Caenorhabditis elegans: one gene and its partners. The protein of the gene in region 3 interacts with the protein of the main gene of each other region in a pairwise test. Each region holds a gene or a part of one and is shown on either strand. Other genes may lie near its edges.

What was found.
Region 1: the proteins of xnd-1 (region 3) and F16B12.6 interact in a two-hybrid assay, tested with the Caenorhabditis elegans proteins (one large-scale study listed by BioGRID).
Region 2: the proteins of xnd-1 (region 3) and lin-11 interact in a two-hybrid assay, tested with the Caenorhabditis elegans proteins (one large-scale study listed by BioGRID).
Region 4: the proteins of xnd-1 (region 3) and nfyb-1 interact in a two-hybrid assay, tested with the Caenorhabditis elegans proteins (one large-scale study listed by BioGRID).

Annotation. Positions count from the first base shown.
Region 1 is NC_003284.9:14,100,485-14,108,333, forward strand, and holds F16B12.6 (DUF7747 domain-containing protein), read left to right. Parts: upstream 1-1,831; 5' UTR 1,832-1,874; coding exon 1,875-1,940; intron 1,941-2,109; coding exon 2,110-2,439; intron 2,440-2,493; coding exon 2,494-2,696; intron 2,697-2,743; coding exon 2,744-3,034; intron 3,035-3,099; coding exon 3,100-3,424; intron 3,425-3,471; coding exon 3,472-3,636; intron 3,637-3,685; coding exon 3,686-3,962; intron 3,963-4,028; coding exon 4,029-4,201; intron 4,202-4,460; coding exon 4,461-4,960; intron 4,961-5,015; coding exon 5,016-5,244; intron 5,245-5,294; coding exon 5,295-5,384; intron 5,385-5,436; coding exon 5,437-5,577; intron 5,578-5,630; coding exon 5,631-5,812; intron 5,813-5,866; coding exon 5,867-6,027; intron 6,028-6,102; coding exon 6,103-6,782; intron 6,783-6,829; coding exon 6,830-7,195; 3' UTR 7,196-7,429; downstream 7,430-7,849.
Region 2 is NC_003279.8:10,246,511-10,254,314, reverse strand, and holds the start of lin-11 (Protein lin-11), read right to left. Parts: upstream 6,024-7,804; 5' UTR 5,977-6,023; coding exon 5,744-5,976; intron 5,538-5,743; coding exon 5,409-5,537; intron 4,642-5,408; coding exon 4,503-4,641; intron 3,148-4,502; coding exon 3,057-3,147; intron 2,472-3,056; coding exon 2,410-2,471; intron 2,105-2,409; coding exon 2,003-2,104; intron 1,680-2,002; coding exon 1,578-1,679; intron 294-1,577; coding exon 179-293; intron 1-178. UniProt on the Caenorhabditis elegans protein: Probable transcription factor which is required for asymmetric division of vulval blast cells. Involved in olfactory plasticity probably by regulating the expression of transcription factor mbr-1 in RIF neurons.
Region 3 is NC_003281.10:5,602,869-5,608,068, forward strand, and holds xnd-1 (X chromosome NonDisjunction factor), read left to right. Parts: upstream 1-1,591; 5' UTR 1,592-1,592; coding exon 1,593-1,965; intron 1,966-2,011; coding exon 2,012-2,201; intron 2,202-2,251; coding exon 2,252-2,343; intron 2,344-2,390; coding exon 2,391-2,592; intron 2,593-2,681; coding exon 2,682-2,928; intron 2,929-3,385; coding exon 3,386-3,724; intron 3,725-3,768; coding exon 3,769-4,350; intron 4,351-4,397; coding exon 4,398-4,481; 3' UTR 4,482-4,688; downstream 4,689-5,200. Other genes in the region: madf-11 (MADF domain-containing protein), read right to left, coding at 1-4, 53-314, 359-450, 496-562; C05D2.8 (DUF7064 domain-containing protein), read right to left, coding at 4,706-4,970.
Region 4 is NC_003280.10:461,341-469,285, forward strand, and holds nfyb-1 (Nuclear transcription factor Y subunit nfyb-1), read right to left. Parts: upstream 6,026-7,945; 5' UTR 5,997-6,025; coding exon 5,792-5,996; intron 5,566-5,791; exon of another isoform or gene 5,509-5,565; intron 5,214-5,508; coding exon 5,052-5,213; intron 4,904-5,051; coding exon 4,703-4,903; intron 3,231-4,702; coding exon 3,112-3,230; intron 2,838-3,111; coding exon 2,681-2,837; intron 2,041-2,680; coding exon 1,964-2,040; intron 1,334-1,963; coding exon 1,234-1,333; intron 864-1,233; coding exon 673-863; 3' UTR 327-672; downstream 1-326. Other genes in the region: tomm-22 (Mitochondrial import receptor subunit TOM22 homolog), read right to left, coding at 7,170-7,340.

The DNA of each region.
Region 1 (7,849 bases), on a different chromosome or scaffold from region 3:
CTTACTTGAGTATGCTGAATTGTACGGCGGAAAACTGGAAGTTCCGGAAGCTTTTCACTTGGCAAGACAAATGATCGATTTGCTTCACACAATACATGATAGGGGGATCGTTCACTGTGATATAAAACCAGCAAATTTTGCATTTGGTCTCAATGAAAAAAAGAATCAGCTTAATGTATGTTACTTCTACCTTAAATGTTTTGTGAACTCATGATTATTTGAACAATTTGACACATATAGTCAATATAACTATACCTTTAGCTCATCGACTTTGGATTAGCAGAATCGTTTCTTGATGATAGAGGAAATCACCGAGAGGTACATAATCGCCATTATCGAAAAGGAACTTATGTTTACATGAGTGCCAATCAGCACCATGAACAATGTTTTGGTAAGAGTTTTTTGTTTGCTTTTGTATCAGCACTTCTGATTGAGAATTCAGCTTTTTCAAAAAAAATTCTATTAACAATACCAAGACGAAAGGTTAAACCAAATATTTTTTGTTCGAACTATCTAATTACAGGAAATACCCGAAGAGATGACATGGAGTCCTTGGTTTATTCTTTGAGGAAAATACTTGACCTCACTATGTGCTGGAAAGAAGGACGGAGTGTGAACAATGATGATACTCATAGAAACTATTTCAACTTGAAACAAGGCAATCAAAAAAGTTGTTCACTTTGTGGAATACAGCCGATTAACGATATGCTTCAATCGTGCCGCATGCTCGAATTCAAAGATGAACCCAATTATGAAGCAGTGAAGCAGCTGTTTGTCTTGGATAAAGCTATGTCAAAAGCGTTGAAAAATAAGTTAGTTTAATATGTTTTTAAAGATAAAAAAATCAGATTTCATCAAAAAATTTAAAATTGCATGTAAATAAAATTTTCACTGCCATTTTCAGAAAGCATGTTCCACCAAAAGCTACATTCGACATTTCTTTGGACGAGGATCAACAGGTTTCAATTTGATTTAATTTCGAAAAACAATGATAATTTTATATTTTAGAAGTTGATCGACAAATTCAATATCTACTTCAACGAAGAAGACTATGATGCAATGTGAAACTTCTTTAACCACCTCCTTTGCAGTTTAACAATTGTCAGTTAATCTAGAATAAATTTTTTAAACATGTTTTATAAATGTTACTAATGAAAACAATTATGGGTTTTTAAAGTACATACTTTGTGTAGTCTTGGGTGTCAAAATATTAATCTCCCTACAACTTTCTAAATTTTGCCATAAAAGTTTTTTATGGAGCACATCTGTTGCATTATCTGTTGCTAAATTTACTTATCTTGCACTTTGAGGATTTTTTTAAAATTAATGAGTAATAATGGCAATCACAACTTAAACCAAATGTCAATTGTACTCGAAACGTGTGAACGTGAGTTTTCTTTTTTTGTAGACTTTTCTATTTGTGAAAGGAGGGCGCCCAATTTAATTAGTACCACATTTAGGATGCAAAAATTGTAAATTTAAAGAAGGTTTGTAGAAAAATACGTAAGATTTTTGAATCTTGTCACTCAAATTACACATACAAGTTTATCATCCTCACCACATAGCCCTATTTAAGTTCTGCTAAATTTATTGGGTTGATTCTTCGACAATTGCCCAACATTGTCGATCACCAACAAACAATGCAAATACGCTCCAACTCACACCGATAGGGAGAGGGGTGTGAATGCGCGCGAAACAGCAAGTGAACGGTCTCTCCGTTTACCACACTCTCTTACCTCGTTTTGTCATCTAACGCGCTCTCTCGCCACTCGCCTTGCGCGTCAGCCGGCCAGTTATTCTTTCCTTCTTTTCACATCGTTTTTTTTCATATTTCAAGCTATTTTTTGTCAATTTTCAACTTATTCAGTTTAGAAATGCCTCGCCGAAACTCAACAAAAAGTGCTGCACAACCGTCCGAAGAAACGCCAGCCGGAGAAGAGGTAAAACTGTTTAGGCTTTGAAAATTTCCGCAATTTTTAGTCTGTAGACACCGATAATGACGCCATTGAAAAATTCTCTCTCAATTTAAAGTTGCGAAGCATTATGAGAGAATTGTGAAAACAAAAAAAAACAGATGAAGCTAAAAATGCAACACAAAATAAAATTCAGAAACCTCTGCCGATGTGTCCTGAGGAATCTGCAAAGGACACCACTGTACAATCGTCCAGACCACGGCGAAATATTCGCAAAAACACTCTATACGACAACGAGAACTATGAGCTTGTGAATTCAGCGCCTGCTGCACCTCCCGAACGGACTCCATCAGTTTCAAGAACTCCAAATAGGACCAGTGCTGTTTCAGAGGTATCTACTGGAACCGATAAAAACTCAACTGCTATGATGCCTGATATGCTGAAAGGAGCGAAAAGAAGAAAGATTCCTCCTCATGTTGCTGAAATGATGGAGACACCAGTTGCACATAGGGCGAACTCAAATCAAGTGAGAAACACAGAAAACCTTTGTTCTTAAATAATCCTTTTTTCTTAATTACAGACTCCAAAATTCGATGATCAGTTGATGACTGATGGAGCCAACCTGGAAGTTGCAATGGAATTTGAGGTTCCTCACAATGACGAAGGACCTCCAGTGCTCGGGCCATCTACTGTTTTTGAAACTGAACCTGAAAGTTACAGGGAAAGCGACGAAGACTATAGTGTTAATGACTTTGCTCACCCTCCAGATCTTGAAAGGCACCCGTACGTAAATCCATTATGTAATGACAAAACTTTAATTTTTTTTACAGATTGAGCAAGCGAAGAGGACGTCCACGTCGACCACAAGAGCAGCTGGAGACCAATGTTAAATTGAAACTGACCCGTCCAGCTTCAAAAGCTCAGCGAGCCCCACCAACTGAGCCAGTTGCTGCTAGAACCGCCACTGCTAATCAAAGGCATATTAAGCTATTTGAGGAAGAGTTGGATACAACCCCCGGCGGAGAGTCCTATGCAACCGTGGTGAATGGGTGCCTGACTGAGCTGCTGAGAAAGGAGCGGATTATTGATCTCCTCACAAACCCGGACGAAATTGAGTTGATGTAAGTGAAAAATGACAACTGTTGCAATGCGATATCAATAATCTAAGCACATTATAAATTTTCAGAAAGCAAGCAGGATGGTTTCTTCCAAGACCACCACGTCTTCCTCCACTTGTCACCGACAAAGTATGCTTCGCATTCTACGTGGATGGTAGTCAGCAGAAAAATGCTAAAGATCTCTCCAACGATGACCTCCGTCCGTGGAGTGTGACAAATGATCATCAGAACACGACTGGCGGCCCAAACACAATCAAGCCAAATGTTCGAAGACACCCGGTGGCTCGACTCAATGGCGAGCTGAAGACAGTCAAGCATGAGACACGTCTCGCTGAGTATCACTTAACGGAGTACAGCGCTAGATTACCTCGGGAGCAGAGACTGAGAAAAAAGGTAGCTAAACTGAAGATATTTGAACACAACATTGATTTTCTTTCCAGATTTTCTACCTGACCCGTGACAATCAAATCTTTGGAAATGTGCTTATTCTGTATGATTATGTGAATCCAGGAAATGCCCCAATCCCAGTATGCCTTCCTCATGGCAATGATCATCTGCGAAGAGCAGTCACAGATGATCAAGATGGATTTGACAATGATTTGCCGGTTTGTAATTATATAATTGGTTACCTCATTTATAATTTTATGCTTTCAGTTTGAGCCGCAACGCATAGAAGGAACCCGTGGAGCTGGAGTCTACCTCAGGTTGCGTCCGAACAAATTGGGATGGGCTCAGAACAAGAAAAACTTGCTGGATTATTTATTCAATAAAGTTGACATTCTGGATGAACTTGGCGCTCTAAACAATCGCCTCCCAGATCTTCCGCCACTGATTGAGACGGTCGGAGTCTTTGCATATTTTGTTCCGGCCTGTCATGTTGTCAACCAAATTCACCACGCTGCTGATGGCTTATCTCCATGGACCACTAATCGTGAGTTGCTGTTTGCGAAGCACCAATATGCGGTCGTTTAACCGTTTTAATTTTGATAAATTTCAGCAGGCGCTGGCGAAGGAACACCGACAGTGCGTGTGCGGTCAACAAAGAAGAACTTGATATTGGACGAAGCTCACAATCACTTTATGGTATCAAGAGACCAGAAAACTCCATCCGACTATATTCTCGTAGAGACAATGTCGACACTTGCCAGATGCAAAAGAGTGAGAAAGAGGGTAAGTTAACCAACAGTCCGCAAGTACCACGACGCACATTTGCGTACTTAAGTTTGCGTACTTAAATTTGCGTACTTAAATTTTGCGTCGTAAATCTACACCACACGCTGTGCAATATTTAACAAAATGAAAGGGCATACACCACCTGGGGTTGTTGCTGCTAAATTATCAGACCGTTGACGGAACTGAAATTATAGTGCAGTAGTCATAAATAATGTCATAAAAAATATTGTACATTGCAATTCTTCAATCATTTCAGGTTTTCTATATCCAACAAGCCGGCGCTGTTATTCATGGAAATGTCTGCTACACGTATGAGTTTGTTTACGACGGTCCGTTGCCAACCTTCTACCCACCATTGGACGCGAAGAGTTACAGTAGATGGTCAGGAGGATCACCACTGAAAAAGCCGGTCAATTCAATGGACATGCACTCTCACATGATGGTAGAGCAGGATTCATATGATATGATTCCTGTTGACGATGACGGAATCGTTGATGTCGTTGACGTTCACAAGGAAATGCTCGTTCAGCAGGAGGATGATCAGATGGAGAACCTTCTAACGTATCCCGATACGCTGAACAACGGATTTGATCCAGAATTCAATGATGATCCGATTGATAAAGCCGAGAATCCGAATGCATACTATGATGAGCCCCGTGTTTTGTCAACGGGTCACGTATACTTGACTGTTCGTCATAAAAAGTTGGTTACCGTCATGGATCATGTTCTCGAATGGATTGCAAATTCGAACATTGTGTAAGTTCTTGAAAATGTAATCAGTTTGATTTTCAACTATTTTCAAATATTTCAGTGAGGAGCGTGGTGTCCTGAACGACACGAAACCGTCTCACCCACCATTGGTCACCAACTCTAGGGCCTACGCCTTTTTTGTAGCCGGTACTGCCATATTCCCCCATGACATTAATCGCGACGACTTCTCACCATGGTCTCGCAACGGAACGCCTGATCAGCCGACCTGCTATCGTACAAAAGTTCGAAAGCTTGGAGTGATTTGCGATCCTCAAAATTCAACGTTTTTGGTATGGAATATTTACTGGCACTATTGTTTTAAACGTAAACTGTTTTTAAGCTGAAAGAAAATACCAACTACAAAACTTGTCCATTCCATCTCGTCTACTTGTATTCGATTAATCCAAAGGAGCCTAGACTGCGAAAAAAGGTGTTTTAAACAATGTTATTTGATTTTTATAAACTAATAATTTGGTTTTCAGATCTACTACCTGATGGAAACCCAATCAAAAATGGTTGTCAGTCATGCATTGATTATGTACGACTACAACCATGAAGGCAACATCCCACGTCTCAACGCTGGCCAATACAAGCCACTCACTAAGAGGAGTTACGCTAGAACCGTATGTTTCTAACATCATAAGATTTTGACTTAATAACAATACAATAATTACAGAATCATATGCAGCATGATTTGATGAATGATGTCTCGGAAGGCGAAGAGAGCAGAGATTGCCCATTCATATTGCCTGCAGAGACTGCTGCTGATGGGACGTTTTACCTACAGCTCGATGACTTGGAATTCTGGAATGACCGGAACCGACAGATTCAGTACTTGGTCAATCAATCTGATTTGGTGTAAGTTGATTGAAAGAAAAATAGAAAAGCTAAGCTTAAAAAAAGTAATTTCAGTGAACAACTCGGATGCCTCAACACAAAAGTTCCCGATCTTCCACCATCGATAACTGGAAAAGGAACATTTGTCTTTTTTGTGAACGGAGAAGAAGTCAACTTTAGATCATTGACCACAGATAAACTGACTCCGTGGTCAGAAAACACTTGCTCTAATCCTCGTAAGTCTTATGAATTTTTTACAAAAATTTTCATAGACGTGTTGAGTAACTTCCCGCAAGCTCCATTAGTTTCAGATGGAATAACCAAAAGGCCGAAATCATCAAAAACTCCGCTCGGATTCAATCGTCACAATCAACTGCGAGTCTGCAAGGGGAATGCTCTGGCCGTGGATCCGATTGAATTCCAGTTGCACATTTACACTGCAACATTGCCCCGCTGCACACGGCTTCGCAAAAAAGTTGTCTATGTGCAACGAGACGGAAACCAGTATGGACACGGTTTGATCATGTACAGCTACACTGAGCCCGGAGCTGTGCCACAGCCAATTCAGAAGACTATTCAACCTTCGACTGATGAATGGTTCAGCAGCCTTCCATCAAACATCAGAGAGGATGTGTTCCATTTGCTGAAAACTGCCCCAGTAAATGAAACAGCGAAGATAATTCATCAGGAACATGGAATTCATATTAGTCCAAATATGTTGTTCAGTCTCAAACGGCGAGAACTTTCTGGTTCTCATGCTGACAACGACACTTTTGTCACTGAATGGACCGGAGCTGATGGTGCAGGACCATCGACATCGGCTAAAACTGAGACTGTGGAAGAGGTGGTGATTGAAGAGCAAATTCCAAAAACAATCATGGGTCACGAAATGATGATTGGAGGAGACATGATTGTCGAGCACATTGAAGAAGTTGGAGACGTCTATGGGCAATCAATGATGAGAAGAAATCCATTTTTGGAGAAAAGCGTGGTTAGTGTTTGTATAATTGATTCGTTTTTTAAATTCTCAATTTTCAGACTACTGCTGGATTTGTTCGTGGATCTCAGCGATATGATGCTCTTTGGCGAATTGCGCAAAAACAGTTTGGTTCGGAGTGCATTGATGACACTTTTGACAGCTTGTTCCGACTATTATACGAAAAGAACGAGCAGCGCTTGCTCCAAATGATCAATGAGACATTCCACGTGGACATTTTCTCTGGCGACCAAGAGATTGTGGAGGAAGGTGTCGAATACATGCAAGAAGAACTTGTTGTGCATCCTGGTAATCATCTTGTCGGACACGAGGAACTGGGAAGACACGAGGAACACATTGAACATCCTGAAGTACAAGGCCATTTGGAACATGAAGTTATTGAAGCCCCAGAAGATCCTATGGTTTAAAATTATGATTAACTGGAACAGACATTGTTCGAAAAATCATATAACTGTAAATTAAATTGATCTTATAATATTGTTTTACCCTTTAAAATCCGTGTTATGTCATATCTATCTATTATTCCGTTTTACACCAAATGTTTTTTGCCACTATAGAATGACAAGGTGATCTTTTTTCTGTTCTCAGCAAATTGAAAATCAAACATAATACACTGACACAGATGAAGTTATAATAATGCATAGTAGTTTAAAAAAAGGTATTCGGCTGAATATCTGAATAACAACATTTTAATGTAAGGTGCAAAGCATGGATGTGCGGCAAATTTGCCAAACACGGTAAATTTCAAAAAAGTAGATTTGCCAAATTTTCCAAGCTCCGTAATTTTTTATGTTTGCCCCAGCTGCAAAGGAGCATACAACCCCCATGAAAACCAGTTATTGGTCTGTATTTTCACCCGAAACAGAAACATCTGAAAGGTAAAATTTGGTTAAGCAAATCCCTAATGTTTCAAGTCCGTTACTACAAACAACTCTGTGACCTAGATTCCAGGTTCTGTAAAAAATTTCAAACACGTCACTTTATGTGCAGGGTACTCACCGGTCTTCAATGATAGCCATTTATTTCAAAGAAATTGAAAAAAAGTCAAAAATTAAATCAAA
Region 2 (7,804 bases), on a different chromosome or scaffold from region 3:
TTGAACCGCCTTTAATCCAGCTTAACCTAGTACATATTGTGCAGAAAATCGACTTTTTGCCATTGGAACACCTGCTTCTAACGCCCTACCCTCGTGTTTTCATCTGTTTTTCACGCTACCGTGATAATTGGTGTTGCGTAATATTTGAGAACGAGAAGAAGCGATTAAGTGGACTCACCATTCGGGAACATATCTACAATATCGTCACGGCGTGGTCTTCGGGATTGACGATATCCTCCAAAACGAAGTTGTTTCATTCTTCGTTCCTTGCTTCGGCGGTTTTGAAACCACACCTGTAAAATGGAAATTTATTTGGAAAACAAATTAATGGAGAAAATTATCTATTAAAGGTAAACCCTGTGTCATTTGGAAAAATATATTTTGAGTGAGCCCCACAGAAAAATTATGTTATCTGTAGAAGAGCATTTTGAACTTGAAAAAGCCGATCTGAAATTGTTCATTTTCATTCTCGGAATTTTACCAAAAGTAGATTTATGGAAGATTCTTAAAGATTTTGGAAACTTTGAATTTTTTGAAAAAAATTACTGAATCTTTTATCACCCAAATTCAATTTTTAAAATTTCAGATTGTTTTGAACGATTGAAAAATTTTCGAAAACGCCCGGATTATTTTCCCAAGTCCAGAAATCCAAGAAAAAAAAGAAAAAATAGTCGAATTTTTTTTTCAATCATATGTTTTTATGAAAAAAAGTTCTATTCAGATCGAGTTTTTTCAGTTCCGAATGGTCCTCTGTAGTTGACTACTTTTTCATTTAGAAGTTTAAAAGTGAACTAAAACACTGTACACGAAGATTAAATTTTTGAAAAAAATCAATATAGAGAGCGAACCCTTTTTTAGTTCAGTTATTTCCAAATTTTCGAATCAAAACACTAAAAGTTATGTGTTAGCAGTTTTTTAAGTTTACTATTATGGGGCAACTGTGCAGATAAACAGAATTAAAATTTAATTGATCGGTGGAAGTAGGCTAAAAATATTTCACACAAAAAATTAAGACTACAATTAATTTTGGAATTCCGAATATTCAGGGTTCAAAAATTTGAACAAAAAAACGAATTTTCTGAGTTCAACTCAAATTTCTCATTGCAATTCTCTCCCTTGACCACTCAGATTTTTATCTTCCAAATTGAAATTGTTTCCCATTTTCTCTTTCATCATCATTTTCGTATAGCTCTCTAAACACAACCAATTTCCTATGGCTTTCCGTTAAGTTTCCTGTTATCAGTTATTATGATTATGATCATTATTATTTCTATTGTTACATAAAAATCATGTGATGTGTACATCTTTCTTACAGTAAATAACATGATATTAGTTAGAAACTACAGTATCCACTCACTTTTTTCTCTTTTTCTTCTTTCCGTTTTTCCCTCTCTCTCCTTTCAAGGACTACGGTAATTGAATTTGTGTGTGTGCGTGTGGAAGGATGTGTCCTCCCCCAAGAGAGAGAAGGGCGGGGCAGGTGAATTAAAGCGGGAAATGAGAATTTGTGAGAGATAGTGCATTTCGAGGATACTTAGACATGTGCAAAAAAAGAAAAAAAGAAGAAGAATAGAAACCTGAATGACTCTCATGTTGAGTCCTGTCTCGGCGGCAAGTTGTTCACGGATATGTCGAGTTGGTTTGGGTGTTGCGGCGAACGCGTTTTTTAAGGTTTCAAGCTGAAAATATTTATTGAAGCTTTGGACAGTAATAAGATATTTTTTAAGTGGGGAAATTCAAGATTTTCAGCAGGAAACGCTGGATTCTTTATCAAACATTAATTAGAATTTTAAAATCTGATATCCTCTGTCAGTTTTGCCCAACTTTGGCAGCACAAATCTTGATCAGACTATGTTTTACCAAAAAATTGTCAACTGACAAAATATTTGTTACACTGACCTGGATTTAGAAATTTAATTATTTTTTCAAAAAGTTATTTCAATAATTATGTTTGCACTTTCCTTTCCGACATAGATAATTTTTTCTACTTCAGAAAACTCACTTGTTTTGCTTTAATTGTCGTTCGAGGGCCACGCCTTTTCGCAGAATTCGAGTCATCTGAATTGTCCTTCCCACAATCGCCTTCTCCATCATCGAGTCCGACCTGAAATTTTAATAAGTTAGATTAGATTCACTTTGGTTCTAACAAAACATTTTGACTTGTAAGTTATAGGTTAAATCTTTTCAATATTTTTAGTGTTGAGCCATTTTTGCAATCATTTCAAATGATACCAGCTGTCAAAAGTAGGGAAGTATGCTTCTTTATTAAACTGATTAGAAAAATATTTGTATTTTTTAAAGATTCGTTTACAGCAAACTTTTTAGCCACTACTAGAACTTTCTATTTTAAAAAAAAGTAAAAACTGATCCTAAATGGCAATTCCAGAGAAGTATATATTTCAGACCCACCTCATCACAAGCATCCACATTATCCTCCTCCACATCGGAATTGCATTCGGATCCATTGGATACTGTAACAAAAGAACATCATCTGTCTAATACCAGTGTATGTCCATTCCGCAACGAGATTATCCCCCCTTCCTTACTATTTTGCGGTAATTCGAATACAAAGAAATGTTTTCTGTGTTGACAGCTGTCTGTCTCTTCCTCTTTTGTGCAGAGATACCTATCATCGTAAAACTATTCAAACAACACATGGCTCGCTGGCTCATCTTAAATACGTTTGAAACGGAAGCATGGATTAGAACGTATGTCTCTGGTTTTATGAGAAGAAGAAGAAATTTCTAAGGATTTTATGACTTGAAATCTGGGAATTCTTTTTTGACTTTTTGGGTATCTACTGAAAATTATGTCTGGCGGTGTTACTTCAGAGATAAAGAATTTCATGGTAGGTAGGCATGTGTTCAGGCTCACTTGTCTGCCTCTAGCCTATCTGCCTTCATTCAATTATTGGAGTAGGCCTTGGACGCCTCAGCAGTCAACAATTTTATGAAAACTCCACCTTCTACCATAACTTTGAACAACTTTTGTATTATCTTTAAAACTCAATTCTTCGTCTCTTTCTCTTTCCCTTTCTTTATTTTTAAAAACCTTACCGGGCCTATGAATCGATGTGGGCGTTGATGTTTTGGTTGCTGTTTGAAAATCACTTTGACACACGAATCGATTGCCTTCCATGATATAAAGCTGCAAAATAACACTAAAAATTCCGCGAAAAAAAAACAAAAACAATCGTGGGAACCCCTCGCATATTTTCATGACAGTTGGAGCTGTCTCAAACCTTGACTAGGTCCCCCGTGTAATGCAATTATAAAGTATAATAGGTTAGAGACGGATGGAAAGAAGATGATTGTAGAGTGACAACAGGACACATCCCAAAGGGAATTGGGGAAGGTTTTGAAGCAGGAAGACAGGATGGAAAATGGAAGGAAAATGGCATTGAGATAAGATCTACCGGTTGGTCAGTGGGTAGTTTAACTGATTTGAAATTAATATAAGCAGAAGCAATGAGCAATGAGAAGATAATATGCGCCTCGAGACATTTTGAACGGTTGCTCCAAAATCCTAGTATTCTTGGAAAATTGTTTTAACGTATTGTTTTTCAACTGATAATGAGAAATGTTTAAAGTATGGTGTCCGGCAAATACTTCCGGCAACTATACAACGACAACCAAATTTTTCAAATAAAACAAATTTTAAAAAAATTAAAATATTTGATTGATCTGAAATAAAGTGTTTTTTTTTTGGAAAAGTTCAAAAAATCTGAAAAACTTTAACAGTAGTTTTGATAACTTCCGAAACAGTACTTGAAGTATTTTTCAAACGTTCCATTTAAAATATTTATTCATTATTTTGAAGTCAATCGAATATTTTTTTCTATATTTCTACATTAATTTTTCTTTTTTAAAAAGTAGAATTATTATACCAAAACAAACAGTATGGAAGTTGAGAGGGTTTTTAGATATTCAGCGCGCCTCTAGACAGAAATAGTTTTTGATGTTCCCTATAATGTTTATGATCAAAATTTTAATCAACTATCTGTTTCATCTACATGAGTCAAAACAATACTCAGAACAGCATCAATGACATTCAGTGACATCTTCTATTCAAGAAAACAAAACATTTTGAATGACAAGAAGGCGTGAAGCTTGAGTGGTAGAGAGCTCTCGGTAAGAGGCAGGTGCAACTGACAGGGGCTCATGATGGGGACACATTCAAGAGGTGTGAGCATGTGATTTTTAGGGATCTGCGTATCTTATTTGCAAATGGGCTTATCAGTATAAGTTAGACGTGAGAAAATAGCGACTATGAATATCTAATTTCATCTGAGTCACCGCTCAACTTATAGAAAAACCTTGATAATGGTGGAGACAAGCTTAAAAAGAACTGCCAGTTAAAACGTCAAATATCACTTACCGTCAGCCTTAAATAATATAAAACTTATTTGAAACTTTAGTTCAATTAAGGTACCAGCCTGGATTAATATATAAGATCAAAAGTACAATCAATCTTATATAGAGAAGAGGCTTAGCCTGGCTCACCTGGTCACCAGTGTCCAATAACCTTTGACAAACGGAGCATTGAAAACATCGAATATGAAAAACTTTATCTCTTGCTCGTCTCACCAGATCCTCTTTTTCCAATTTCCCATCGCATCCGGCACACCGTTGACTATATCGCCTGAAAATCACAATCAGGTAGGTAAAATAATTATGGACACCGTGGGAACCGTGGGAAAATTTAGATATAGAATTTGAAATTTGAAAATCAAAATAAGCAAGTAAGATTTGTTTACTACAAGTGAGCTTGAAAGCATAAGAAATTTGAGAATTTTGGAATATGATCTTCAAAACTTTAGAACATGTTTTGGGAGGATTTTGGAATTGCGGAATCTTTAAATTTTATGCCGTCATTTGCTTGAATATATTCTCCTAGCCCTTTTTGGCAAAGTTTTGGAACTACAATATATCCAGGAGTGGGTGACGATTCGCAGTACGATTATTTGAATTGGCATGAAAAAAACCAATTTTTCAATATGAAAAATATGTTGCAAAAGACTGAAAAAAATCTGAGAGACTTACTGAAAATTGACATCTACCAGAAAATAGTTATTACAATTTCATACCAGATTTCAGGACTTTTTTTTATTTTTCAATGAAAATAAACGTAGTTTTCAAATTGATCATGTTTTATATATTTTTACATAAACTTTTGACTAAAAATTTGGAATTTTGAAATTGTCACTGTTGAAGAATCTTAGAGGTTTTCAGCTTCAAAACTTCAGCGTTCAGTTAGAACTTTTAAAGTTTGCACACTGGAAAATTCAATGGAAAATTCATCACAACCTAATTGTAAGATGTTTTTGAACTATCTCCAAGAGCTCAAAACTTGCAGCCCGGCTCTTTATAGATCACAGTTCTTAGAAATTAATGTTGCTCGGAACTTACCTTGAAAAATCAGTTTTACACAGAATAAGACCATCTCTACTAAAACAAGTCATTGACATGGGCGCTCGACAGTCACAACATCGAAGACAAGACTGATGCCAGCATTTTCCGAGCACAGTGAATACATATCTGAAAGTAAGTGAAAGTGTCGGCTGAAAATGAAATGACTGCTAGTGCTGCTGCTGTCGAAGGGGTTGAGAGGGGGAAATGAATCGAAAATGGAAAAATTCAATTAGGGGCGAGAGAGGTGGTGTTACAGCAGCTAGAGATGAAAATTGGAATGAGACTAAACGGAAAATAATCATAAATTGCAAAAAAAGGTGAGGGACCGATACCTGTCAAGAATAGGCTGTGCACACGCGGCACACTCATTTCCACTAATTTCAGAGATGTGCGGCTGAGTCGTTGACGATGGCATCATCCACGTGGCAGAGTCGAGAAGCAGCAACGTGGCAGATGAGGTGACACTGCCGACGTCTTCAATTGACTGCTGATGAAGATGATGAGCAGGAGGCTTCTTCTCCTCTTCTTCCAGTGAGGTGATGATGAACGAAGAAGAAGAATGCATTGAGAAGGGAGTAAAAGGAGGAGGAGAAGAAGAAGAAGAACGACCACGAAGGTTACGGTGGTTGGGGCACCAGGAGGCTGGCTGGTTGATGGGCGGAGTTATTGACACAAGAGAGAGAGAGAGAGAGAGAAAGCCTGAAGAATGAGAGCTATTGAGGGAAAGAGAGAGAGGAAATTACGAATGTTGAAGCCTAGAAGAAAAATAAGAAGAACGAGAGAATAGGGATCGCTTTTGGTTTAAATGCTCATGATAGTTCAAATATTTTTCATTCACCGTATTTTCTGTATTGCACTACGTTTTCTTTCACACCTTATATCTCTGTTATCTTCAGTTATATCAAAAATAGTCAACATGAGAAATAAAGAAAAATATTTTCCAAGTATTTTATCAGTTTACAATTTTGATAAAAACTAAAGACAGCAAAAATATAAGCTTTTAAAGTAGATCAAAAGGGGTGCAAGTCTAATAGGGTAGTTTTTATAACTTCAAGGGGTGGTTTTTAGTAATTTTTGTTTTGATAGTGACATTATTCTACGATCAAGTTTTGCAAATTACGTTTAATTTTTTTCGGATTTTTTCTGGAATTTTTTACCAGAAGAACGATTGTCTAAAATGGGATACCGTATATATTAATTTTGTACCAATCTACAAAACGGCCCACTTTGGTACAATAACGCAACTTTTCAAATGTGGAAATCTAGAAAAATATTTGGTTCATATGAAAACCAAGTCAATTTTATTAAAAATTTCAGAAAAATCGTCAAACTTTTCCTTAAATTTGCCATTTTCCATAAAAATTGTTTGTGATATTTTTTTAGGCAGTCAACATTCAGCCAGTTTTTCAGATTCTTTTCAATCTTCGCAAAAAAGATTGGGGTTATTTTCAAATTAATACAATATTTTTATACATACATTTTAAATTCAAAAAGTTTGATTATCGTTCCGAAATCGGAAGCTTTAAAATGTTTCTTTTAATTTCAATTGAATTTTTAATTGAACACTTTCTGAGCTGTTAAAGTTGTATAATTGAGTGCGCTAAGATTTAATTCGCTACTTTGAAACTTTCCATTTGTTTTCATCGGGGTCATACAACTACAATGATTTTTACTTTTTTGTATTACATGTTATTTTAGGAACAAATATCCTAAATTAGAAGGATTTTTCTCAGTTCAAAACTTCGCAAGCTCTGTAATTCTGTATTCAAATTGTTTTTCAGCACATTGAAAAAAGAATAGCTAGTCCGGTAAAATACAACCAAAACTTATTTAACCCACAGAAGCAATCTCTTGATAAATACCAGTGAATCGACGGATCAGAGGCGCCCCTTGACGCCTCGACCAAATGAAATCTTTAGACACCACCAATTCAAAATTTTAATTCAAAGAGCCGTCAATGGAACAAATAAACACAGTTTCAATCAGGTTTCGAGCAAAAAGTTCTGCTCTTCACCTGTTTGACTTTGGGCATGTTTTCAATATAATACAAACCACATCCAACCGAACAGAATCAGCTGGATAGAAGGACAAACTCATTCGATATGAAATCAAAAGTGTCACGTATACAACTAGAGTAAAAGTGAAATGATTTTCTCATTTTGAACTTGTCATTTCTTGTGTGTCAACTATATCTACGAGTTCAGTGATTGTTATTTTTTCTTCCGGTGAGGTTGTCCTTGGTCTAGTGTCATCCCATTTCGGGCTTGTCACCTCCTACTGAAACAATGCCATTTCGCGCAGAAATTGGAAATAAAACTGAAGGATTACGGTAATAGAAGACGAGCGGAATGAGATGACGGTAGAATGTGATTCAGTGGAAATTCCTCAATTCA
Region 3 (5,200 bases):
TCTGCTGAAAATATAAATGATTTTGGTGTATTTCTTTGCAAGAAACTCTTACATTTCTTCTTAAAAATCAATGAATCTGTCCATCGCATTGCCTCAATTAGTCCATCGGACATATCAATCGATTTTCTAGCATATTGATCGAGAAGATCCGACCAGACTTCCTGAACAAGAGTGATGTCCTGCCAAACTATATCAGCACGTATCCGATCCCATGCTTCTCGTTTCTGAACCTTCAACTGAGCATCCGGCGTGGCGGCTTGCATCTCCTCATCGTAGAGAATCGGATTTTCTCGAACCATATTGATTAGTTGAAGCTGAAAATTTGAAAATTTTGAATTTTAAACGTTTTCCAGCTTACAAGTGTGTATTGCGTAGTTTTTACGGGTGGATCTTCCCTGGAAAATTGTTGTTGGAGGTCTCCAGCACCACCGTGGGAGCTTGAGGCGACACCTGGAAAAATTATTGGAAATTCTGAATCTATGAATATCGATTTACTTGTCATTGAATGCTTGAGACCGGCGATTTGATAATCCTCTGTTCCGTGCCGCCGTCGGTCGCTCATTGGAAATTTTTAATAATAATTCTGAAATTTATTTTCTTCTCAAATTCTCGCAAGTTTCTCAAGCATTTCTAGCTGCGTTGCGTGGCGATTCCTTCCCGAATTCGAGTTTCATATCAATCTACGATCCATTGAACCCAATAACCCGATTGGCAAGAAGATGATCGTACACACTCATTCACATAGGTGATAGACGTGCTACAGACCGTGGGAGACTCGAACGGGTAGTAGGGCGGAGCCGGGAACCGCGACGCAACCGAAACGCTTCAGAAACCGCAACGGAACAGGCATGCGAAGCGGTCAAGATTCGAAAAAGAAAACGGAGCGAACAGGCAGAAAAACATCGATAGATAGGCGCGCGTGGCCGAGAAGGAGGCGAGACGAGACATCTAGGCCATCGATGGTTTCTCTGCGTCTCTCAAGTGAGTAAATAAATGGTTTTGAGAGGGTAAAATGAAGAAAAAGGATTGATCGAAATTTAAAAACTTAGTCTAGGAAAGGAAAACAAAGCAGGGGAAATCTGAAACAAAACATATAAAAACACACATTTTAACTATTTTTCAGAGTTAAACAAATATAATCTAACAAGAATTCAACTTCAAAGTGAAGATTTCCAGAAACGAAAATGGTTATGTGATTTAAAAATGTGATTTGTTCAAGGAATTACAAGAAAACTCTGGTTTAACATTTGAAGAAAATCCATATTGCGAAAAATGAATTTTAAAAGAATTATTGACGGTTTTGAAATGTGAAATTTTCAATAAATTTCGAAAAATAGATAACTTTTTTTAAATAAAGAAAAACAACGAAAAAATATTTCAGTGGTTACGGTAAACAAGCATAAGAGTGTTTGCGTACTGCGGACCAAAATCTTCGCGAGACCTCGGGTACTGTAGAAAATTTAGGTATTTTTAAAACTTTATTTTTCTATTAATTTCCCTTCTTTCTCATTGGGATTTTCTAGTTTTCTGGTAAATAAAAACAGTTTAAATTTAAATTTAAAAATTTTATCTCCATATTTTTTGTTTCCAGGATGTCTTCTGAACCCATTGTTGCCAATCTAGACAATTCCATGACGACAGAGCCTGCACCCGCAGCTTTTCCACCAATATCCCCAATGTCATTTGCTTTTATGAATGAAGAAGAACGAGCAGCGGTCAAGTTTCCAAAAGTTGATCCAAAACCGCAAACTGCTAAAGATGATGAACCTTCCACATCCCAGAAAACGTTGAGCGTCGATGATCTTCTGATAGTCGACGACGACGACGAAACTGATTCACCACCGGCATCTTCTAGTAATTATGAACCTAAAGCTCATATTGGATGGGCTTCATTCGGAGATTCCTGTCTCCCACCTCCACCAAAGCCAGTTAAAAAAGCTACGGATCCAAATTTGCCACGAAGAAGTTTGTTTGCAAATGGTCCTCTGTTAAATAAAAATATTGTTTTCAGAAGTCTACGTCATTCGTTCTCAGAATACAGACAAGTCGAAGTCCCCGTTAGTTGTTAATAACCAACAAGTAACACTCGAAAAGGCACAAAATTCTCCAAAAAATCCGAATCCTGTTGTATCTAAGCCAATAGTGCTTACAGACTCTGATGAGGATGTGGACGTTGTTGGATTCGACGAAGAGGAGGAAGCGTTAGTTTTTAAAAAGTTTTTTATTAAACAAAACAATCACCCGTCTTCAGAATTAAAATTATGGCCGACCCTACACGCCCACCAGATCTTCCACCACAGCGATCTCTGATATCCAGATTTGAGTCGAATCGAACCAAAAGAGGTATTTTCCATGAAAATTTGATTTTTTAAAGCTCATTTTCTCTTCAGATATCTTCCGAAACAGTTATGATTCTGATGAGGAGGAATTTCTGCGATCTCGGTACCAGCGAGCTGTCACACCGCCGCCAATTCTCGAGCGACAAAGTGGAAGTACTCGGGAGTCTGTAAGCGAACCAAGTGAAGGGAAAATTCTCGAGGAAGACGCAACGCTTGGAAGTGAACATACGGAAAGAGTCGGAAAACGAATTGAGTAAGTTGAATTTCGGGTTTTTGAAAACCTTGACTTCCAAAATAATGACAATTTGTTTAATAAGTCCTGCTAAAAAGCAAATTTTCCAGATTGGAGGAAATCAATCCATCACAGCTTCTACGAACCAAAATTTCGGCGAGCGCAATTCCAATCCTTCCACTCTCCAAATCGATAATGGAACGTAAAAAAGTAGCTCTGGAGATGACGAAAAACGCCGTGATCAGACAAGCGAATAACTTCCGTCCAAAAGCCAAAAACAGTACCGTGGCTCCAAAAAGTGTCCAAATTCCTGCATATAATCATAAAACTCCTATGACGTTCTACTCGAATATGGCGGTAAATTATATATTTTTGGAAAACCCTAAAGTGGAACTTCAATATTTCGAATTTTCCTGCATTATCATTAACAAAAAAACTTTTCAGCAATTACTAGTGTTTTTCATCCAATAATTATATTATTTCATTCCCTGTTTTCATCATAAGCAAAAAATATTTTCATCTAATGGTTGCACAAAATGGTAAATTTTTTGAAGAACTACAGTAACCCAACTCCAGTTTCTCTCAATAAATTAAAAAAATCTTGGCGAAAAATAAGAAAGTTCAGCGACATTGAAAAGAAGAGGAGAAGGGTTACTGTAGTTCTAAAAGGCGCTTACATTTTTGCGCCGGGATGATTGGAGATAATTGTTCGTGGTGCGACCGTAGTTCTTCCTAAAATTTTGCCACTGGCTAGTACTTTACAAAATCAAATTATTTGTGGCGAGACCTACAACGAACAATTTTCAAAATTCAGGCCCCCGCCTTCGTCAAAGGAGTCAATGGAAGATGTTATCGTTGCGCCGAAATTCAAAAGCCTGTGGATATGAGCTCCTTCCGATTCGTCGACGATTCTACCGTTATTGCCATCCGTGCTCATCTTTGCGATCAGACACGCGTCATGGTAGCTAGAACAGCAATTTGGAATCGAGAATACGCGAAACGACTCGGCGATCGAGCTGCTGGAACTGTTTGGCAGAAACCGGACGAGGTGTCGGCTCAGATGACCGGATTTTGCAGTGCGACGGTTCGTAGATGTATTGAGATTGCCAATATGTCTATCATTCCAAAGTGTGCTGATCGTGTTGGTGTTTCGGTAAGTTTCAAAGAACAAAGAAGATTTAATCTAACTTTTTTCAGAGAAACGAACTGACCTCCCTGAAGTCTTCTTTCGGATCCGAGAAGTTTTGTGGGCAGACCATGCGAGCTCCACATGTACTCACTCAGTTCTACTCAGTTAATCAGGCATCGATGGCTCGTAATAGGGAAGGTTCTGATGGTCCTTCTTCCTCAGCAGCAAGACCGGTTGGAAGACCACCCACTACGCAACCAGTAGAAACTGCAGTGGAGAAAAAGAAGAATGATGAAGATGAGAAAAGACATCATCCACTCACAAACTTCACAACAGCATCCACGTCTTCCCAAAATCTGCAAGATCAACCACCACCCAAGAATACCGTTCTCCGCTGGTCAAATATCACAACTCCGAGGATTCTTCGTCCACCAACTCTCAAAACTCCCTACTCGCTTCCCAGGACTGCAGTGATTCCGGTGATGAAGAAGAAGCAGCCCGAAATAGAGCAAGTTCAGCCGAAGAAGGACACGACGGCAAGCCTTGTTCGCAAAAGAGGCCGCCCGAGAAAGGAGAAGCCTCTGGAGGTGCAGTCTCCTCGCAAGGGACTATATCTTCGCTTCAAATCGTGCACAAAGTATATTGTTCGGGTAAGAGAACTGAACAATTTGAAAACTTGAAATATTTGGTTTTACAGACTCCAATTGACAAAAGTGTCCAAGAAACGGTGAACTATCTACTGGATGAGGTTGACAAAAGGGCTTCAACTTCTGCTACGTAGCTGCTACAATCTCTGTTCTTTTGTTTTTGTTTTCTCGTTCTAAATGTTTTGTTGTCTCATGTTTTTAGTTCTTCGGAACTTGTTATCCCCTCCCAGTGTTTTATTATTTTTTGTACATTTTACTGTTGCTCTGTTCTGCACGTTGACCCCACATTTGTTAGTAGCATATGAAACGGTTTTATAAAGTAAGTGGAAAAGGTAGAAAATCTGAATTTGATAATTTTTTAATACGGCTGAATACGATACTCGACTTCCGCGAATCCCCATCCCGGCTTTCCGTCGACAACGAATTCGCTCATTCCTTCGGTGACCTGACATGCTTGATCCAATCCCATTTTGAATGAGACGGCTTCCTTGATATGAACATCTGCGTGATGAATCTTGCCGTCAACTTCGAACGAGTAGTGGAAATCATCAGGGAAATGACGATCCTCTCCGTGGTTTGGAAGGGAGAAGTGTACACGATCCACTGGCTTCGTCTCACCAGTTCTGAAAAAAAAAATTTAGGTTCTGCCCATTAAGGAAATTACTAGAATCTTTTGCGAGAATACGGTACTCGGTCTCGAAACGACTTAAAGGACACTTATAATGATCCAAAACGACGAAAAATCATAATAAAACACTCCAAAAATGTTTATATTTTTCGTAAGCTTTCGCAAATTGCCAAAATATTGAAAAATAGGAGCTATTGAGAAAATCTAAAGCAATGTTGCATACCC
Region 4 (7,945 bases), on a different chromosome or scaffold from region 3:
AATTTTCAGAAATTTTTAATACGATTTTAGAATTCAGCACCCCATTTTACTCCGTCAAATCAATTTTCAGCTCAAAATTCGCAAGTGTCGTAAAATCAGGCGTTTTGGGGTACTGTAGTCAGTGTTTGCGTACTCCTGGAGCTACAGTACCCCAATTTTCTTAAAATTAGAGCTGGAAGCCGGGAGAAAAAGGAAATAGGGGTAATTTGAGGCGCTGAATTCGAATTTCGCATTGAAAATTTGAAATTCAATGGGAAAAGTGTGGAAAAATTGAAAAATCGATTTGAAACGAATTTTTTTGGTGGTTAAGTGAAAACTGAGGCATTGGGGTATAATTGAATTTATTTTTTTGCAATAAATTAGAGATATAAATAAATAAATGAATAAATATTTCAAAAATAATTACAATTGTATATGTTAAGTTGTCAAGGAAATGGATACGATGGAGATCAATGAAAAATGGAAAATTTTGGAAAATTGAATTTTTGCAAAAATTGCAGTTTTCAGATTCAGTTTTGAGGGAAAATGAGAAAAAATCCAATAAAAAATTCGGTAAAAATGGTGATTTTCAGTGCAAAATTTTAAAAATTCCTCAAAAAGTTGGGATTTCAGGGTGAAAAAATGCGAAAAATACAATAAAAATCGAGAAATTATCATTTTTTGCAATTTTCTCTACTTTTTCCTCTTCGTCGGCGTTCGTTTCGGCTGAACTCGGGTGGCTGCGGGTCTCGGCGCGATTGGAACGGGTACTGTATCCTCCTCTACTTGATCTACTTCTTCTTCTTCTTCATATTCCACGTCATCGTGTTGTTCCACGTGGCTGACGTGGTGGTGCTGCTGGGCATAGGAAGACGGATTTTGACCTGAAAATCGGGAAAATTGACTGAAAATGTGCAAAAATTTCATTTTTCTGAAAAAAACATATGCAAAATAGGTAAAAATAGGCCAAAAATGCCTAAAATCACTTTTTTTAAAAGAAAAATTGGCTGAAAATCAGTTTTTTCGATTAAAAAAGACTAAAAATTAGCTGAAAATACATGAAAACACTTATTTAATCGGAAAATTCATTTTATAAAACTGGAAAATTGGGGTTAAAATGCTTCAAAATCACTTTTTTCCCGATTAAAATGGCTCAAAAATGCTAAAAACTTGATTTTTTCCCATTAAAACCAGTAAAATCTCCATTTTTCAGCATTTTTGAACAGAAAATCACTAAAAAATGCAATATTTTACCGATTTTCCGCATAACTGAGCTACTTGACACTGGCTGAGGCTCTTCTTGTCCCATTCCGTGGGGTATTGCTCGTCCATCTGGCATATTCATAACGAATTGCTGAAAAAATATTAAATTTCGAACAAAAAAAATTTTTTAATCAAAATTTCTGAAATTTTCAATACGATTTTCGAATTCAGCACTCCAATTTTACCCCGGGAAATCAATTTTCAGCTCAACATTCGCAAATTTCGTAAAATCTGGTGTTTTGGGGTACTGTAGTCGGTATTTGCGTACTCTTGGGGCTACAGTAACCCAAAATATTCAAACTTTGAGCTAGAAGCACGGGGAAAAGGAAAATGAAGGTAATTTTTGGCGCTGAATTCGAATTTCGCATTAAAATTTCAAAATTACAAGGTTTTTGCCCAAAAAAAAATTTGTCTGAAAATTTCAAAATTTCCGATTTTCAAATCAAATTTTCTGAAATTTTAAATACGATTTTTGAATTCAGCACTCCAATTTACCCCGTCAAATCAATTTTCAGCTCGAAATTCGCCAATGCCGTAAAATCTGGTGCTTTGGGTTACAGTAGTCGGTGTTTGCGTACTCTTGGGGCTACAGTAACCCGAAATATTCAAAATGTTGAGCTAGAAGACGGGGAAACAGGGTTCTGGGGGTAAATTGAGGCGCTGAATTCGAATTTCGCACTAAAAATCTGAAATTCGCTGTGAAAAGTGCTGGAAATCGTACATTTGGCCCAGAAACATTTTCCAATTGCAGTGGGGTGTCCTGGATGATCAGAGGGTAGAGTTCCATGCCATTCGGAGCTGAAATTTGCTTTTCCGGAATTATTTAAAAACATTTTCTTAGATATTTGACAGAAAATCGAGAAAATTCACAATTGTTTTCAGAAAAATCGAGAAAATGTCAATTTTCACAAATTTTAATATAAAAATCGGGAAAATATCGATTTTCTCGGATTTTTCAGGTAGAAAATCAAATTAAAACCAATTTTTTCGAGTTTTTATGCTAAAAATCAAAAAAAATTTGAATTTTCTAGTTTTCTGCTGTAAAAATCAAATCTGGACCAATTTTTTCTAATCTTTACGGCAAACATAGGGAATTTTCAGTAAAATCCACAAAAGTTGACGAAATTTCGATTTTTTCTGAAGTTTTCACCAAAAAAAAAATCGATTTTCCTAGATTTTTTCCGTTCAAAATCGGTTTTAAACCATTTTTTCCAATTTTTGAGCTGGAAATCAAGAAAATTTCAATTTTCTGTTTTTTTTGTGCTGTAAAAATCTAATTTTTCTAATTTTTAAGGAAAAAAATGAGAAATTTTCTGGAAACGCCACAAAATCGGCGAAACTTCGATTTTTCCGGAATTTTCACAAAAAAAAATCGATTTTTCTCAATTTTTCCAATTTTCACGCTGGAAAATTCAGAATTTCATAAAAAATTCCGTACTTTCTTTCGCTGCAAAATGTTGTTTCGTCTTTGGATCCACATAAATCTGCATTTGGCCTTGTTGCTCCAAGGCGATGGCTCCAAGTGAATCTTGCTCAATAATTTCCTCGTGTTCTTCAATTTCTACTTCTTCCATCGGCATCGGCTCCATTGGCTCCTGAAAAATCGAATTTTTTGAGTTAAAAAATCAATTTTTGAGTTAAAAAATCAATTTTTGAGTTAAAAATTCAATTTTTGAGTTAAAAATTCAATTTTTGAATTAAAAATTCAATTTTTGAGTTAAAAATTCAATTTTTGAATTAAAAATTCAATTTTTGAATTAAAAATTCAATTTTTGAGTTAAAAAAATCAATTTTTGAGTTAAAAATTCAGGTTTTTAGTGGAAAAATCCATTTTTCCACAGTTTTCCATCCAGAAAATCCAATTTTCACCTCCATATAATATCCATCTGCGCGGGTATTCAATGTACCAGTTTGCTCATTCCATTCTTCTCCCAATGGAGCATTTTTCACAATTTCACTGCCATTTATCACGTATTGAGTCTCGGTACCTGGAAAATTGCAATTTTTTTCATCATTTTCCTAGAAAAATTGAAAATTTGGGCATAGCTTCCGCATCTCCGGTGACAAATGTGCTCTATTGCACAAATTGTTGGTTGGAATACGGTATTTATTGCATGTTTCAGCCGAGAATACCGATATTCCAGCCATCAATTTGGATAGAAGGACATGAGTCACAGAAATTTATTTTTGTAGAGAAACTACAGTAATCCTTATAGGAGTTATATGGCATTTTCAGAGCAAGTTTCGGTATTTTTCCGAAAAAAAGTCGCTTGAAACTACTATGCAAAGCTGCTGAGTTTCGCGAAAAATTCAAAATTTTGGGAAAAAAACGGTGAGAATTGCAATTTTTCCATATAAATCTTAAAAATGCATTATTAGTTTTTTTTTAACTATAGTATCCTTGAAAGTCATAGAACAAGTTGCAAGATTCGTAGAAAACTCGAAAAAATCATATATTTAACGCTAAAAATTCAAAATTAAGAATTTGTGCAACTTTCAGCAAAAAATTTAGAATTTTGACAAATTTTTAAAGGAAAATCATCATTCTCAGTGCTTCAAGCTCTGAAAAAAATTTTTAGGAATTTTTCCAGAGAAAACCATTTTTGTTCAGGTTTTTACTATTCTTCCCATTAATTTTTCAAAGCTTGAAGCACTGAGAATGATAATTTTCATTAAAAATGTGTCAAAACTCTAAATTTTTTGCTGAAAAATACTCAGAAGCCGAAATTAAAAGCCAAAAATTCTGAATTTTAAGTTTTTAGCGTTAAAATTATGATTTTTTCGAGTTTTCTGCGAATCTTGTAATTTTTTCTATGACTTCAAAGGATACTGTAGTTGAAAAAAACTGAAAAATGAATTTTTGAGATTTATGTGGAAAAAATGCAATTTTCACCGTTTTTTTACTATTATTTCGGCTTCTGAATATTTTTCAGCAAAAAATTCAGAGTTTTGACAATTTTTTTAAATGAAAAATCATCATTCTCAGTACTTCAATCTTTGAAAAAAAAACAATTCTTAGTCTAAATTTCAAGTTTCCGGTTTTTTCTATTTTTTCCATAAATTTAGTCTATTTTCTGTGAAATTTCTAGTTTTTTATTATTTTTTCCATAAATTTAGTCTATTTTCTGTGAAATTTCTAGTTTTTTATTATTTTTTCCATAAATTTAGTCTATTTTCTGTCAAATTTCGTTTTTTCTATTTTTTTCCATAAATTTAGTCTATTTTCTGTCAAATTTCTAGTTTTTTACTATTTTTTCCATAAATTTAGTCTATTTTCTGTCAAATTTCGTTTTTTCTATTTTTTTCCACTAATTTAGTCTATTTTCTGTGAAATTTCTAGTTTTTTACTATTTTTTCCATAAATTTAATCCATTTCCAGTCAAATTTCCAGTTTTTTTTTCTATTTTTCCATCAATTTAATCTATTTTCAGGCAAAATTTTCCGATTTTCACACACGAACATCTGCGTCCTTGCTCCGTATCGAAGAATAATGGCCGAACAAAAGGATCCATTTGAAATTGTGGAGGCCGTACGTAGTCTGGGTGTGTTCTGTGAATTGGTCCAGTGATCTTGTGAGCCTGACGGTACTTTTGAAGGAAAATTCGCATTGGCTCCGCGTAATTGTCGAATCCTGTGGCTTCCATCGCGGTGAGCAGGTCGTCTGGAAATTTTTTTATATTGAAAATTGCGGTTTTTAGGGTTTTTTGGGCTTTTGGGCTGTTTTTGAGTTTTTAAAAAGGTTTTCCATGCGAAAATTGTAGTTTTTGGACGATTTGCGGGTAATTTTAGACGGAGTTTCCCGGTTTTACCTGCAGTAATAGTCTTCCGCTTCGTAATATTGCATATTTCAGCGGCTTCCGAAGCGATAAAGCTTATAAACTCTGAAACACACTCTTGAGCACACTCCTTTGCGTCTTTTGCCAATTTCGCCTGCGGATCCATTTGAGTTTTCATGATTCGGACCACGTTAGCTGAAAAAATTGGGATTTTTGGAGAATTTTCAACGATTTTTGTTTTAAAAAAATTGAAAAATCTCGAGCTTGATGCCTTTTTGCAGAGAAACTTTCAATTCTTGAAAAAAAAATTACAAAAAAAATCGATTTTTGTCGAAAATTTATGTTTTTGAAAAAAAAATTGTAAAAAATTGGTCTGCTAGACTACAAACTACAATATTCGATTTAGCAGACCATTGTTGTTCTGAACAAAATTGGTCTGCTAGACTACAAACTACAAGTTTAGATTTAGCAGACCAATAGATATTGAAGAAGTTTGGTCTGCTAGACTACAAACTACAAAATTCGATTTAGCAGACCAAAGTGATTTTGAACAAAATTGGTCTGCTAGACTACAAACTACAATTTTCGATTTAGCAGACCCATGTGATATTTTTTCATTTTAAAGGGCAATTTTAGAAAAAATGGCGGTTTTTATCGGAAATTTATGAATTTTTTCACTTTTCAGTCTAGATTTTTCAAGAAATTTCAATTTTTCGTGTAAAATTCCGGGAATTTATCGATTTTCATCAAAATTTCCGCATGTTTTCCCATACCAATTGGCAAAAATCGTTCCTGATCAAGTAAAACTTGACTTTTATTCGGATGATGAAGCTCCATTGCTATTTCACTAATTGTTCGTGTATCCTCTTCTATATTATGAATTCCATTCATATCATCTTCTGTTATTTCTTCTTCTTCAGGCATTCCATGATCATGATCCTCCAGTAACATTCCTTCGTTTATGGGTTTTGGATCCATTTTGGGAGCTTTTAGACGGTGGACACGGGCTGAAAATTGCGAAAATTTGAAGAAAATAAGGTGAAAACAAGGAAAAATAGCAAAAATTCGGGGTTTTCAGCGATTTTCCGAGCTGAAAATGCTAAATTTTTAATTTTTTAGATTAAAAAACAGGAAAAATCAAGTTTCAAGACCATTTTTCAAGCTTTTCGAAGTGAAAACTCGTAATTTCTTCTTAAAAATCACATTGGTCTGCTAAATCGAAATTTGTAGTTTGTAGTCTAGCAGACCAAAAATTTTCAGAATTAAATTTTTTTAAAGCAATTTTTCAGCGAGAAATTGAACATTTTTCGAATAAAAATTAGAAAAATTGAAGTTTTTGGGACTTTTAGTGCAAAAATTGACGATTTTTGTGTTTTTAAGCATTTTTAAAGCTTAAAATTCGATGTCTCATATATTTTTGCCTGAAAAAAAGTGAAAAACTACAAGAAAAAAAGATAAAAATACGCATTTTGGATGAAATAACCCGAATACAGTGCTGCAAAAAATTTAGATAATGGAAATGAGCTGAAAATTGCGAAAATTTGAAGAAAATTGGGTGAAAACGAAGAAAATAGGCGAAATTCGGGGTTTTCAGCGATTTTCTGGGATAAAAATGATAAATTTTGTTTTTTTTCAATAAAAAAGCGAAAAAATCAAGTTTTAAGGCTATTTTTCAAGCTTTTTAGACTGAAAACTCTTCGTTTTTTCTTCTAAATCGGGTCTGCTAAATCGAAATTTGTAGTTTGTAGCCTAGCAGACCCAAAATTTGAATTTTTGCCAGGGAAAAAATTTTTCAGCGAAAAATTGAAGATTTTTCGAACAGAAATTATAAAAATTCAATTTTATGCGACTTTCAGCGCGAAAATTTGCAATTTTTGTGTTTTTTAAGGCTTTTTAAAGCTTAAAATTCGGATTTTTACCTGGAAAAAGTGAAAAACGTCAAAAAAATCGATAAAAATACAAGTTTTGGATGAAAAAACCGGGATATTGTGCTAGAAAAATCCTTGAAAAATGTTAGAAAATCAACAATTTATATGATAATGAATTCTATCGCAAAAAAAGCTATCAGAAGACGAAAAACAGGGGAAAATCTAGGAAAAGATCAATTTCAGACGGTTTTAAGGGGGATTTTCGGCGAGAAAATCAAGTTTTTCAAGCAGTTTTGGCTTGTTGAATGGCCGCAGATGGTCCGAGAAGCATTTGACGTTGCTGAGCCACTTGAGTCTTTTCCAAATCACTTCGTTCCTTTTCGATAATGTATGGAAGGAAGGCGATCAATGACGTTGTAGATACAACCCAAATTGTGCTTTTTGTAAGGGAAAACTGAAAGAAAATTGAGTTTTTTTGGAGTTTTCAGTGTGAAATATGAGTTTTTACTGTCAAATTGAGATTTTTTTACAAAAATCGATAATTTTTAGTTTTTAGAGCAGAAATTCGGGAAAACTGAAAGAAAACATATTCTTTTTTAGAGTTTTCAGTGTAAAATAAGCAAATTTTTAATTTTTTCTCTATTAAAAATTGTCAAATTGTTGATTTTCCGAGTGTTTTATAGCAAAAATCAATAATTTTTGGTTTTTAGAGGAATAAATAAGATTTTTTTGAGTTTTCAAATAAAAAAGGCCGAATTTTTACTTTTTTTCAGTTTAAAATTGTCAAATTGTTGATTTTCTAGATGTTATACTGCAAAAATCGATAATTTTTAGTTTTTAGAGCAGAAATTCGGGAAAACTGAAAGAAAATTGAATCTTTTTTAGAGTTTTCAGTGTAAAATAGGCAAATTTTCAACTTTTTCTCGGTTCAAAATTGCCAAATTATTGATTTTCCGGTTTTTTAATGCAAAAATCGATAATTTTTATAATTTAGAACAGAAATTAGAGGAAAACTGAAAGAAAATTGATTTTATTTAGAGTTTTCAGTGTGAAATATGA